Linked DNA regions of Canis lupus familiaris. Each later gene encodes a partner of the first gene's protein in a complex. Links are inferred from orthologs where the notes say so. Each region holds a gene or a part of one and is shown on either strand. Other genes may lie near its edges.

Evidence for each region. The genes of interacting proteins can lie anywhere in the genome.
Region 2: the proteins of ORMDL3 (region 1) and SPTLC2 are in contact, whole or in part, in a cryo-EM structure (PDB 7K0O), measured with the Homo sapiens proteins. The link is inferred for Canis lupus familiaris from reciprocal best matches to the Homo sapiens genes ORMDL3 and SPTLC2. Residues at the interface, in NP_001307730.1 of Homo sapiens: Met1, Asn2, Val3, Gly4, Thr5, Ala6, His7, Ser8, Pro12, Val16, Ser19, Arg20, Gly21, Ile22, Leu24, Ser25, Leu28, Phe63, Val67, Lys68, Gly69, Thr70, Pro71, Phe72, Glu73, Pro75, Gln77, Arg81; in NP_004854.1 of Homo sapiens: Glu65, Thr66, Pro67, Met68, Ala71, Val72, Tyr75, Tyr86, Gln116, Phe118, Glu119, Asn120, Phe121, Tyr122, Tyr127, Trp134, Asp259, Glu260, Leu261, Asn262, Val267, Arg271, Ile279, Met320, Val495, Val496, Gly497, Phe498, Pro499, Ala500.
Region 3: the proteins of ORMDL3 (region 1) and SPTLC1 are in contact, whole or in part, in a cryo-EM structure (PDB 7K0N), measured with the Homo sapiens proteins. The link is inferred for Canis lupus familiaris from reciprocal best matches to the Homo sapiens genes ORMDL3 and SPTLC1. Residues at the interface, in NP_001307730.1 of Homo sapiens: Gly92, Val93, Gln94, Phe95, Thr96, Ala97, Lys100, Thr103, Ile104, Ile107, Tyr110, Phe111, Ser114, Tyr119, Gln121, Phe124, Thr128, Leu131, Met132, Leu139, Pro140, His143; in NP_006406.1 of Homo sapiens: Ala16, Leu17, Ala20, Pro21, Tyr23, His24, Leu27, Glu28, Leu31, Ile32, Trp34, Ile35, Leu38, Leu39, Ser41, Lys42, Thr43, Tyr44, Lys45, Leu46, Gln47.

Annotation. Positions count from the first base shown.
Region 1 is NC_049230.1:22,542,411-22,546,943, reverse strand, and holds the start of ORMDL3 (ORM1-like protein 3), read right to left. Parts: upstream 2,901-4,533; 5' UTR 2,748-2,900; intron 2,444-2,747; exon of another isoform or gene 2,207-2,443; intron 1-2,206. UniProt on the Homo sapiens protein: Plays an essential role in the homeostatic regulation of sphingolipid de novo biosynthesis by modulating the activity of the serine palmitoyltransferase (SPT) in response to ceramide levels.
Region 2 is NC_049229.1:50,716,430-50,720,828, forward strand, and holds the start of SPTLC2 (serine palmitoyltransferase 2), read right to left. Parts: upstream 2,922-4,399; 5' UTR 2,871-2,921; coding exon 2,753-2,870; coding exon of another isoform or gene 2,748-2,752; intron 2,245-2,747; coding exon 2,233-2,244; intron 1-2,232. UniProt on the Homo sapiens protein: Component of the serine palmitoyltransferase multisubunit enzyme (SPT) that catalyzes the initial and rate-limiting step in sphingolipid biosynthesis by condensing L-serine and activated acyl-CoA (most commonly palmitoyl-CoA) to form long-chain bases.
Region 3 is NC_049222.1:95,708,971-95,713,387, forward strand, and holds the start of SPTLC1 (serine palmitoyltransferase 1), read left to right. Parts: upstream 1-1,496; 5' UTR 1,497-1,576; coding exon 1,577-1,633; intron 1,634-4,240; coding exon 4,241-4,348; intron 4,349-4,417. UniProt on the Homo sapiens protein: Component of the serine palmitoyltransferase multisubunit enzyme (SPT) that catalyzes the initial and rate-limiting step in sphingolipid biosynthesis by condensing L-serine and activated acyl-CoA (most commonly palmitoyl-CoA) to form long-chain bases.

The DNA of each region.
Region 1 (4,533 bases):
CCAATCCTGGATCTCTCCCAACCCTGATCCAGGAGAACCAACAGAGTGGAAAGAGGGAGGGAAGGAAGAAAAGAGAAGACAAGAGACGAGGGACAACCTCTGCCCAGACTTGGAGGCCTCTTTCTTGGTGACACAAAGCAACCCATGCGAGATGTTTTATGCATCTGGCAGCCGCTCAGGCTAACCCTTGTGATGCCATCCACTCTGCTGCCAAACCACCAGGGCCCTTTTCCCCACCATAGGAGGGGCGAGGATGGAGAACATCTACAGCTCCAAGTTGCTGAAACCCACACCAACACCCACCTCCCAAGGACACAAAAACCCTACCTGCCTCCTGCCCCCATTCCTCTCTGCCCAGCCCAGCCTCACCCCTCAGCCTCTTTTCCCAGCACCTGCTTTCCTTGCCCAAGCTCCAATGCCAGAGGCCTGCAGCAGGAGGAACCAGGAGGGCTGCCCTGGATGCCCCAGAAACAATGCAATCCAGATGCATTCCTGGATGCACATAAGGAGGGGAATGAGTAGCCCCTTGTCTGGAGCTCAGCTGTCCCCAGATCCCTAAGGGCCCTGTAACCAGCAGGAGGTGGGAACGGACTGTACCTTTATACTGGCTCACCTCCCTAGGTGAGGAAAGGTCCTCCCCAATAAAGGCCCTAAGGTCATCACCATGGTAACAACCCCATCTTGGGGGGGGGTGTGCAGAAACGGGTCCTGGGTGCAGGTAACCAGAAAGTGCCCAGAAGGCCACCTCCTTCACCCTGCTGCAACAAACCCCCTCAGATTCAGATGCTATCTATCTCTGGCTAGGATCACAGCCAAGTCTGTGTGGGAGCCAGGATTCTCAAGGATCGGTTCCTTACTTCCAGAATAATGAGAACAAGTTTCCTCTTCTCAGAGAGCTCCAAGCTAAGAGACCTCATGGGAAATGTGACCCACAACACACCTTCCCAACATGCAAACATGTTTGAGATGGCCCAGAGTGCATCCTAGAGGTAATTCTCCTGGGACCCATCAGCTCAGCCCATTAGGCTGGATAATTGGGCCTAACAGAAACCCAAGGAACTAGAAAACCGAGACTGGCTCAGTTGTTTACCTTTCCAGGGCCCTGGAGCTTCAGTTACCCTAACACAGCTTCTGGGATGGGTACACACAAAAGCCTGGGGCAGTGGGGAGCTGGCTAGGGAAGTGAGGTCTTTAAGGAGAGAGGCAGAGTTCCCGAAGTCTAACCAGAAACTGCTATCCCTCCCCACTTCTCCTAGACCTACAAAGGTACAGGATTACAAAGATCTGTAGCTGTGTCTCATATTTTGTCCAGCAGTACCAAGGGCTTTGGTGAATCTCAGATCATCCCACACTCCTGTCTTGCTGAAACAGAGCATCTAATGAAGACTGATGAGTCTCAGAAGAACCTAGACCTAGGACCTAACTGATACCCTCAGAAGCATCTTCCTAAAGACTGAACACTAGCTGCCCTGACAGCAGAAATCTCAGAAGACACCCCTCACCCCCGCAAAAAAAAAAAAAAAAAAAAAAAACACAGAAGAAATCCAGAAACTAAGAAAATGACTGGCAGCCAAAAAGACAAGAAATCAAGAAACTACGAAAACAACTGGCACCCAAGGAGCACTCTCCTAGAAGTTTGCATGACTAAGGGTACATACCACTTCCACTAGTGGAAAAAAAAAAAATTGCATACCCCACCCCTCCACTGTGAAGGGAAGAAACAGGGAAAACCTGGCAGAGGTAAAGTAAGTCTACAGCAGCTGAGGCTGAAAAGTTGTTGCCCCAGCTGGCAGGTGGCTGCATGGCAGTGCCTGATGTGGTTTCATAACCTGTCTTGAACCAAAGCCTGCAGCAACTCTGTTCTGTTAACTACTTTCTTGCTGGTAGCTCTTCTCTACTCTTTTTTCCCTCCACCCTGGCTCCACACACCAATATCCCTGCCCGCCTGTCAGTCTGGCACCTAAGCCCAGGCCATAGTGTGCCCCAGGACAGCTGCCAGGTGAGCGCTTCCCATTCTTTCCCCCAAGTAAGGGAAGCCCTTTAATTAGCAAACCTTTTTTTTTTTTTTTTTTTTTTTGTCTTCTCGAAGAGAAGCACAAAAACATCCGAGCCCACAACCTGGACCCCACGGGCAGTGCCTGGCAGCACTCCACGATGCCATTTTCATTCTGCCCACCGCCCAACCCGCAGGGCCACAGTCACTCACCTCGTAGCTCTGTCTGGCCCTGCCTCCCGGACTCGCGAGGGCAGTGGAATGGAAAGACGACGAGTACCGGGGCGAACCTCCACTAGCCGGGGAGGAGGGTGAAACGAGGTGGAGCCTACGCTATTGTTGGGATTTTCGGAGCGGGACCTCAAGCCGTAGAGGGGCCTCCCGCTTCGCTCCCCAGCCTGAGACCTCGCACTCGGAGCCCAGCCCGGCCCGGTCCGAAGCCCCACCCCCACGTCCACGCGTTCACCCAACCCCGGAGGCGGCCAAACCTTTATCCCCGAAGCCCGGGCTCTCCCCGCCCCCTCCCCCGGCCCGAGCACTCCTCGCGACACCCCAGACTCGGTCTCCCGTCCCTCCCTCCCCCCGTGGGCATCCCTTCGGCTGATGCACCCCCTCCCACCTCCGCTCCCCCTTCCCAGGTCCGCTCCAGCCCGGGGCGCTTCCTCAGCAGCCCCCACCTTCTATCCCGCCCCGCCTCTAGCCCCGAGAGGAGGGTCCCGGTTGGTCCACCCCGAAGCCGCTCGCCCGTACTCACAGTACAGGGCCGGCGGTCGAGGGCCCAGGAGGGGTGCCCGGGGGCGGGGGCCGCTGCTGCTCCAGCAGCTGTAACAACCCGCGGCGGCAGCCACCCCGCTGGCAGCTCCGGCCGAATCAGCGCCCCGCGCCGGCCCCCGAGACGTCACCGCTCGGCGCCTGCCCGCCCGGTGCCTCCTGGGAATTGTAGTTTATCCCTTTGCCCGCGTACGGGCCCGCCCGGTGCTTCCTGGGAGTTGTCGTTTTCTCCGCGTATTGCAGTCTCGGCCTCGCTGGGGCTGCAGGGCCAGAAGACTCAACAGCCTGCGAAACTCACATCGGATGATACTGCTTTGGCGTGTATCGATTCTGCTTTTGCGTATGCGCGCTTCAGGTTCTGCAGTTTACTCTTGCCTGGTTTTGAGACCAGGAAATTCAGAGTTTTAAGTGACTTACCATAGGTCCCATGGGTCCCAGCATAGACCAGAACCCAGAGATTCTGACCCCACTTTTTTTTTCACTACGCCTCTCCGGCTCCGCCCTGGCCATATATTGGCTCCACAAGAAACAGACTAGCCGGGCCCATCGCCCTGCCAAGCCCTCCTGGAAGCTGGCTTGTGACGACGTTGGCTACAAGCAGCGTCTGGAGGGCAAAGAATGCAGCCTGTCCGGACAAATGCTGCACAGCATTTGTCCAGAGCCTGACTGCTTTTCAGCTAACTTGAGCCACGCTGGTCTGAGCCAGGCCGCATCCTTGGCCTCCCCACATTAGAAGTCGAAGAGGCCACGTGTCCCGGGAAGACTCCATGATGAATAGTTCGGAGCCTGAATTCTAGTCCCAGGTCAGCTTGTGTGGCTTTGGAGACTCCACCTCTCTGGGCCACAGTTTTCTCTGCTGCATGTCCCAAAGACAAGGGCACAGATTTTATTGCCGGGCCAATTTAACACAGGCACTCCTTTACCAGCAGTGTGACCCCGAACAAAGAAATCTTTTTTTTTTTTTTTTTTTTTTTAGATTTTATTTATTTATTCGTGAGAGACACACACACAGAGAGAGAGAGAGGCAGAGACACAGGCAGAGACACAGGCAGAGAGAGAAAAGCAGGCTCCATGCAGGGAGCCCAACGTGGTACTCGATCCCAAGACTCCAGGGCAACGCCCTGGGCGGAAGGCAGGCACTAAACTGCCGACCCATCCAGGGATCCCCCCCAAATAACTCGTCTTAATCTCCAATGCCACACCTATGAAACCCTACCTCCAAGGTTGTGCGAATTCAAAAGTATGTAGGTAAAGCACCTGTTGTAGGAAGTTATTCTGTAGGAGGTTGAACTAAATGACCTTGAGGTCTCCTGATCAGTCCCACTCTATATCACCAAAAAGGTCTTGTTTGAGTGATTTTCACTGCCCCCACCCAGCTTCTAAGTCCACTCTGAATGGCAGGGCTGGAATAGCAGGATCAGATGACGTCATGACATGCCAACTTGACCGGCTGTAAACACACCCTGAGCCAATGTGAGAAGACATAAAGGAAAATGCTGGCCCAGGGAAACTGGGGAGCACTTCTCTGAGACCTCACCTAACCTTCTCTAGGGGACTGCCGGGAAACAGTCAAAGCTAAGCTGGAGGGGGCCCCCAGAGGCATCTGGTGGGAAGCAAGTGGCTATCTGAACCACTCAGAGAAAGAGAACAGGAAACTTCTCCGATATTTCCAGGGCCAATGGCCAAAGAGCGCTCATCCCAAGACCTAAATAAACAGCCCAGAGTCTGAAAAAGTTCTACCTTATACAAAAATTTCTCCTGCGTCATGG
Region 2 (4,399 bases), on another chromosome or scaffold:
CACTTACAAATGGTTAAGATACTAAATTTTACATTACATGTATTTTATCACAGTAAGAAAAAAGTAGAGGATAAACGAGAAAATAAAAACAAACAGCAACGTTTAATTGTTTTATATGCCCTTTCTACTACAGGATCTATGTACTCAAACTCTGACCAAAATCCAACAAAGGGAAAGCATATACATTCATTCCTTCAAACACAGAAACTCTTGAGAGTGTAAAGGAATCCCAGAAATTTCTAACTTCTCTCCTGTTCATTCAAAGACAAGAATGCTGGGATACGTAAGGAAATGAATGTGTATCTCGGGTTTAAAAACTCTGAATTTATACTTTCATAATTAAAAGATGACACACACTTGCACACTTAACATCTTACATGTATTTTTATGGCATAATTGGCAACATTTCCCCCAGAAAGTGGGGGAAAATAAATAGGGGGTTGGTGCACTAACATACCACTTTAATTAAAATAAAAACAACTTATATTATTTTAAAGATATTCTTGTTCTCATGAAGTTACCAAAAACCTCTCCTTTGCTTAAGGAAAAAAAAAAAAAAAAACCCTAATAGACAATATTCCTCATATTCATGTACAAAGCTATATCCCTAAAGTCTTTGATTTAAAAAGACTAGTGACAAAGAGTTTTCTTTCAGGTGTTTCCACTAAACCAGTCTTCCAGATGCCACCATAGTGTCTTGAGTGGAATTTTTCACTAAAATACACTAGAAAAAGTCAGCCAGAAGTTAGAGTCATACAGATTTTAAATTTCACTTTAGCAACCTGATATGTCTTCATCTTATTAACAGTCCGCAATCTCTGAAGAAATATCATGTCTACAAATGCTAGATTGTTAGAGATTATGGGAGGAATTCACTATTAAATCAGACTATAACTCCTACGTTAAGTGAAAAGCACACCAAAACACAAAACACCTCTGAAGTGTGAGCACCTTTCTCTTGACTTCCTTTTCCCTCTTAAAAATCATAATCCACTCATTCATCTGCAACGTATTTTCTGACTCCCACCTGCTAAGTTTCCCTGTTACATTCTCTACCACAGCAATTTTTGTTGCTAAAAAAAAAAAAAAAAAAAAAAAAAAAAAAAGCCTTACACGGTCAATAATGAGGGTGTTCTTATCACTTCCTCCCTCACTCAATTATTCCTTTAAAAATGAAAATAGGGATGCCTGGGTGGCTCAGTGGTTGAGCATCTGCCTTTGGCTCAGGGCGTGATCCCAGGGTCTTGGGACTGAGTCCCACGTCGGGCTTCATGCATGGAGCCTGCTTCTCCCTCTGCCTATGTCTCCGCCTCTCTCTCTGTGTCTTTCATGAATAAATGAATAAAATCTTTTTTTAAAAAATGAAAATAAATCTTTGGAATCTGTGCATTACAGTGCTTCCAACTTCAGGGGGAGGTCAAGTCTCTTTTATGTGTTTTCCCTCCAACTCTCACAGTCTTACTATGTCAACATGACCTGGAGGAGTTCTTTATTTTCTGTTCCACACCAAACAGTAACAGGCCCATCTATCCCATCTACTTGACTGGGGGGGGTGGGGGGAGGCTGCTAGATATTTACATTAAAGCCAATTTAAATCACAATAGTCACACTACTGCTCTTGGGAAAAGAGGACTTTGGGGCAAGAAAATGTTTGCCTTAATATCTAAATGGGGGCAGCCCAGATGCCGCCTTCAGCCCAGGGCATGATCCTAGAGACCCGGGATCAAGTCCCACGTCGGGCTCCCTGCATGGAGCCTGCTTCTCCCTCTGCCTGTGTCTCTATCTCTCTATCTCTCATGAATAGATAAATTAAAAAATTTTGAAAAATATATCTAAATGGGATTTATAAGTATTAAAGTCAACTGAAATCTCACAACACTCTTCCATCAACACTGATTGTTTTTTTTTTTTAAGCGGCTCATTTTTAAAAGACGCATTTCAGGAGAATCTGTCAATCCAGAGAATTGGAAGGCTGTTACTGATTACAGTCTTCAATTCAAAACTCCCCCCCCCCAAAAAAAATTTTTTTTTCTTTCCCCCCCGAACTCTGGACTTGGCTGCTGATTCAGGCTTGGTTCACCGGAATGGAGACTCATCACAAGCCCCCACCCGGGGTCAGCAAGCCGCTGGTGTGACGGCACTCCTGCCCACGGGGACCACGGGGACCGCGGGGACCACCGACCCCGACCTAGAGCCCGGGGCCGAGGAAGCGCGTAAGGCTCGAGAGGCACCGGCCGGGGGCGGGGGGGGGTCATGCCCGATCTGTGGTCCCACGCCTCACTTGCAGGAGGGCTGGGCATCCTGGAGAAGGAGCCTGGCACCACCTCCTAACTTTCTCTGCCTCCTGGTTTTCCGCGGAGAGTCTCAGGGCTCTGCAAGGAAGCCAGCCCCTCGAGGACGCGAGGAGGGAGCCTCGAGACGAAGAACCAAGCCCCCCAGGGGGCCCTCCCGGGGCCCGCGGGGTCAGCCCGTACCTCTGGCCAGCGCAGGAGCAGCAAGGCACTGGGGCTCGGAGCAGAGGAAAGTGGGGAGACCGCAGGCGCGGAGACACGCGGGAGCCCCTCCGCCGCCCTCGAGCCCTCGCTCGGGCCAGGCCCGGTCCGCGCCAGGACGCCGCCGCCCGCACACCTGAGCCCGCCCCCGCGACCTCGCCCCGCCGGGCCGCCCCCCGCGGCTCCGCACGGGCGCGGCTCGCGGGGCCCCGGCCCCCACCTCCGGCTCAGCCCGGCCGCCCGCTCCCACCATACCTGGCCGGCGGCGGCGGCGGCGGCGCTGCTCCTCACATACCCGTTCCGCACCTCCCCGTTCGCCACACAGCCGTTCGCCCGCAGCGGGCGACGGCAGCAGCAGCCTCCGGGCCCCGGCCGCATCGTCCCGGCAGCACCAGGCGCGAGGCAGGCTCTGTAGGCGGCGGCCCAGGCGGCGGCGGCCCCAGCCCCGCTCCGCACCCCACCCACCTCCCCGAAACCGGAAATGGCTGCACGCCGCCGCCAATTACCCGCCCGGCCGTCACGGGGGGCGGGGCCGGGCCCGCGGAGGGGCGGGGCCGGGCAGGACTGCTGGCCAATCTGCGGGAGGAGGGGGCGGTCCCGTGCTGCTGTCTGGCCAATCACGGGCGGCGGCAAGGCGGCTCGCCGGTGTCGAGGAGGGGGCGGGGCTGGCGGCTTCTCGGTCCACGCAGAGGAGGCGGGGCCCAGGGAGCACTGGGCCAATTAGACTGGAGGAGAGGAACGGGGCTGAGCCCGAGCGTCCAGAGCGGGTCCCGGGCTCTCCCGGGCTCTCCCGGACAGGTGGCGCCCTCTCTGCCCTTGCCCCCGGGGAAGTTCTGGGGTATGAATCCCCAGCGGAGACAAAGCTCCTTTATTTAATTAGCTAATTCCTCTGTGGGTGTCTGTAGAATAGCATTTTTAGCATTCTCTCACTGTTCTTCAGCAAGCACCTTACAGCAACACATTTCTTAGTAAGTCGGAAGTCTCTTTGCCCTTCACATCTGCCCCTAATCGGGGTTTTCTGTACGACTTCCTTTAAAGAGTACTTCCGTAAGAGTCAGGAAACCTGAATATTTAGCTGCTTTTGGAGCCAAAGTCTTTTTTTTTTTTTTCTTCTTTAAGATTTTATTTATTTATTCATGAGAAACACACAGAGAGAGGGAGGGACATAGGCAGAGGGAGAAGCAGGCTCCATGCAGGGAGCCTGATGCAGGACTCGACCCCAGGACCCCAGGGTCACGACCTGAGCCAAAGGCAGATAGATGCTCAACCACTGAGCCACCCAGGTGCCCATAAATTCTTTAAAATAGAATTAACACTTCCTGTTTCACAGGCTCATTGCAAGAAATATGTTAATAAAACATTGTGCACCTGTCATACTGCCTGGGCCATTGTAGGAGCATAATAAATATCATTTTTGCACCCCTTGAGTTCTCTCTTCCCACAGGGGTTAGTAAGGAAGTGGATCTACATCATAACAAGAGACTTTTCGGTTACCCATAAAGAATTTGGTGTCATAGTAAAGAATATTGACTCTGGAAGTGGTCTGGGTTTGAATCCTGACTGTGTGACTTACTAGCTGCATGACTGCTATGTATTTTCATCTGTCCAGTGGAAGTAATAATAGTTGTCCTGAGGATTTCAGTTAATACATGTAGTATGTTTTGTATAAGACCTTGACATTAGTAAAAAAAATTATTAAGTGTTGGTTATTTTTTAATTAATTAATTTATTTATTTAGGGGGAGCAGAGAAGGGGTAGAGAGAATCCTCGAGCTGACTCCCTGCTGAGTCCCAACGTGGGGCTCAATCTCAGGCCCTTGAGATCATGACCCGAGCCTAAATCAAAAGTCAGATGCTTAAGAGTGAGCCACCCAGGCACCTCAAGTGTTGGTTATTTTTTAATTGCTG
Region 3 (4,417 bases), on another chromosome or scaffold:
ACCAAAGTTAACACTGTGCATACTCTGTGGCCAAAACTCCACTTTGAGAATGATCTTCAGAAATGCTCCCACGTGAATGCAAGCTGGTGCAGCCACTCTGGAAAACAGTGTGGAGGTTCCTGAAGCAGCTAAAAATAGAGCTACCCTAAGACCCAGCGATTGCACTACTGGGTATTTACTCCAAAGACACAAATGTAGTGTCCAAAGGGGCACCTGCACTCCAGTTTTCACAGCAGCAATGTCCACAAGAGCCAAACTATGAAAAGAGTTGAGATGTCCATTGACAGATGAATAGATAAAGAAGCAGTGGTCTATATATACAATGGAATATGACTCAGCCAGCAGAAAGGATGAATACCCAGCATTTACATCGACATGGATGGAACTGGAGGGTATTATGCTGAGTGAAGTAAGTCAATCAGAGAAAGACAATTATGATATGGTTTCACTCATATGAGGCATATAAGAAACAGTGCAGAAGATCATAGGGAAGGGAGAGAAAACTGAATGGGAAAAAATCGGAGAGGGAGACAAACCATGAGAGACTCTTAACTACAGGAAACAGATTGAGGGTTGCTGAAGGGGAGGAGGTGGGGAGTTGGGGTAACTGGGTGATGGGCATTAAGGAGGGCATGTAACGGGATGAGCACTGAGTGCTACATGCAACTGATGAATCACTAACTCTAATCTAAAGCTGACCATGTTCTACATGTTGGCTAATTGCATTAAAAAAATATTCCCACATGAACAGGAAGATACATGCACATAGATGCTTCCTGCTGCATTATTGCTAACAGAGGCAGAAGTAGAAAACAACCTAAGTGTCCACTAACAGGAAAATATGTAAGTAAAATGGAACAAGAAATATGTATTTATAACAAGACGTAGTCTTCTTTAAGACGAAAAATGCAAGATTTATGGATGAATGGGAAAAACACCCCAAGAAAAAAAATAAATAGAAAAAAAAAGCAAATTGTATATCACTATTATCCCTAGGGTCCCAGTTAGATTTAAGACATCCAAGCCAAGTAAATAAGTGTGTGCACACCACATTTGCATGTGCCAAAGAAGGTTCTAGAAGGTTCCACACCAAAGTACTGCATGGCTTAATTCTCTCCAAGCATTGGTCTATGCAGGACACACCCTAAGTGCTCTATAAGAGGTTACATATGTTTATTATATATATGATATATAATAATTTCTGTATTTTTTATGATAATGCATTCCTGGGTTCCTCTGTCATTTAAAAGTAAAGAGCACATCTTTGATTACAGAACACTCCCCGCCCAGGGCAGGGGCCATTTATTATTAATGCCTCCATCCCGAGGGCCCAGCACGGGTCCTGGCACAACACCTGCCGGAGGAGCCCCTCCGGGCTCGCATCCCTCCCGGCCGCCAGGTGAGCCCCACGCCTCTGAAGCCTCGGGTCCCGCGTTCCTCCAGCGCGCAAGCGCCGAGGGGCGGGGCCCAGTCTCTCCAGCCCCGCCCCCAAGCGCTGCTGCGTCACTGGGCTGCGCCGCGCGCTGTTTGACGTGCCCGCGACCCGCCTTCCGGAAGGAAGCGCCAGAGGCTGACTATGGCGACCGCCGCGGAGCAGTGGGTGCTGGTGGAGATGGTCCAGGCGCTTTACGAGGTGAGCTTGGCGGCCCGAGCGGCCCACGACCATACCCAGCCCCGCAGGCGTGGGGCGGCTCTGGCGGACTGGCGGTCTGCGGCCCACGCGGGGTTGGCCGGGTCACGCCCTGACCCTCGGCTCCTCTGGCCGGAGGGCCTCGCGGGGGAGGCACCGGCGGGAGCGGGGACCCAGGGGCGCCTTGGGCTCGCGGAGGGGGGCGGGGGGTGAGGGGCGCTCAGGAGAGGAGCAGGTGGGAGGGGGCCGGGAGCGAGGCTGGGCTTGAAAACCTGTGGGGGTGGAGAAAATAGAGCGGAGGATCGCAGCCGGGAAGGCCGTGGGGGCTGCGGGGCGGGGGACAGGGGACAGCGCTGTACACTGGAGTTCGGTTCTGTCGGGGCGAGGGGTCACGAAAGCCGAACGATTCAGGAACTGGGAATACGAAATCGTTTCCCATTCTTCCACTTGCGCCCCCTTTTCTGTCCTGTAAAGAAACAACAATTTTTTAGAGATTTTTTTTTTTTTTTTAAAGGCTATTCCGGATAATTAAGGGTTTTTTGAAAGGCTGGCTGAGCCGCGCTACCCGGTGCAGGAGCCGTTCAGTGTAGTAGCCACTACCCACATGTGGCTGCTGGCCCTTGAAATGCGTCCAGTGCAAGCGGAGGGACTACATTTTTCATTTGATTTCGTTTAGATGTATATTTTTACACAGTTAGGTGGTGACGGGTGGCTACGGATCTAGAGGCGGGGGCTAGTGCACTGATCAAACAGGGCAAAAACTCCTGCGCTATATTACAGAGCCCCTCTTCATTGAAAGCGAGCCTCAGATTTTCTTCTGATAATTCTGTAAAACCTGAACATAGCTGCTTACTGGCGAGGGGAGACCCTGGTGTCTTCCACTGCGAGACTTATCAGGACTTCCTGAAAAAAGAATTGACAACAGATGTGGTGTGAGTGATGGCCCACCTTAACCTAATTATGGTAACTGAGATAAGAGCCTCTGAAATTGAAGGGTTTTTTTTGTTTGCTTGTTTTTTTAATGACCAATTTTCTGTGTTGTTTCCTTTTTGAAGGCTACCTAACTGACCAAGAGTGAGGTGTTCTCTTGGATGTGACATTCCCAGGGAAAGAAGCTGCGTTTGTGATTTTGATTTAATTCACTAGACAGTATCTCAGTTTTTCTTAGGATGATTTCTTTGTGGAGCGAGATGCTTAGAGACTTGGGCAGATGCTTGCCTATTAGAGTGCAATTGTTGAGAAAACCGAAAGAATGCTTAGACCACAGTCCTTATTCTTAAATGAATTGTATTCAAGGGGGATCAGTATGTTTAAAAATCATCTTAAAGAGAGATTTCCAGTCTTTTTTTTTTTTTTTTTTTTTAAGATATTGTTTATTTATTCATGAGAGACACACAGAGAGAGAGGCAGAGGGAGAAGCAGGCCCCATGCAGGGAGCCTGATGAGAGACTCGATCCCCAGACTCCAGGATCACAGCCTGGGCCAAAGGCAGGCGCTAAACCACTGAGCCATCCAGAGATCCCCGAGATTTCCATTCTTGTTTCCAGTTTTGATATAGTTAGTGTGTAGAGTTTGAGGGGTCTTGTACCCAAAAGAGAAATAATAGTGTGTGTATGTGACATGTATGTAGTTAGAAAACTATTTGTGTATTGACTTAGATATTTACCTACATTCGAATTTGTCTGCTTTCCTTCTGTCCACATTCTAGGTTTTTTTAAACTATGAGGAATCATCTTCACTTTCTTTTTGTCTAGTGTTTGAAAATGATCTGTAATTATGTTCTAAACACCTCTTTTAAATGACTTTCCAGTGCCAGCCTGTTGGAGTGGATCACTTTATAACTGTGGTTTAGTCAGTTACAAAGGTCGGAATCTTCCACACACACCTAGAGTGTCTAGTTGTGCAAAACATAAAAGCCCGGCCTTTATCTGGGAAATGCACAGTTGAAAAGAAGACTTGGCATGGATAATTTTAGTAAGGTGTCTTTAGGCCTGTTGACATGGAACACACTGCAACTGCCTACTTTTGGGGAACTGCTATAGGAAAAAGACCTGCCATTCCTTTTGGCATTTATAAAGCTTTTTTTTTTTCTCATCCAGGATCCAAGAAGGTTTTAAAGAGGCTTATCGGGGATTCGGAAAATATAGTAAAATGTGCAAAACTCCAAGAATTGTGGAAACTGATTTTCTGATAACTCCTAACTCATCCATGGTGTATTGGGGTGCTAGAAGGCTGGTGGAGCTGTGAAATGTTGGTTACTGTTCTTTCCTACCAGTAGAAATGTACATTATCTGAAGGATCTGATAGTTGACATTGTTCCTCATGTTGGGATTCTGCATCAGATTTTATTTTGAGAATTAAATTTCTTTCATATAGAGGTGTTAAAGATTTACTATTAAAGATTTTCCATGTGAAGGAGAAATTGCCAACTGTTAGAAATGGGGAAAGGAGTGAGTAGAAATGAAAAGAGTCTTAAAGATTAAGTTTTAATCTTAAGAAGTAATAGGTTAAAGGTCATGGAAGACAGTATATACAGGTGCATTACATTTTATGTGCAGATTTTGGAAGTGTTTATTTTGTTTCTTTTTTTGGTTTTTGACTCATTCTTAGGCTCCTGCTTACCATCTTATTTTGGAAGGAATTCTGATTCTCTGGATAATTAGACTCCTGTTCTCTAAAACTTACAAATTACAAGAACGATCTGATCTTACAGTCAAGGTAAGAAACTAAATCTCTTTTATTTATTACTCAGTGTATGATTACAGTTGCTACATCTTTTCAAAGAGT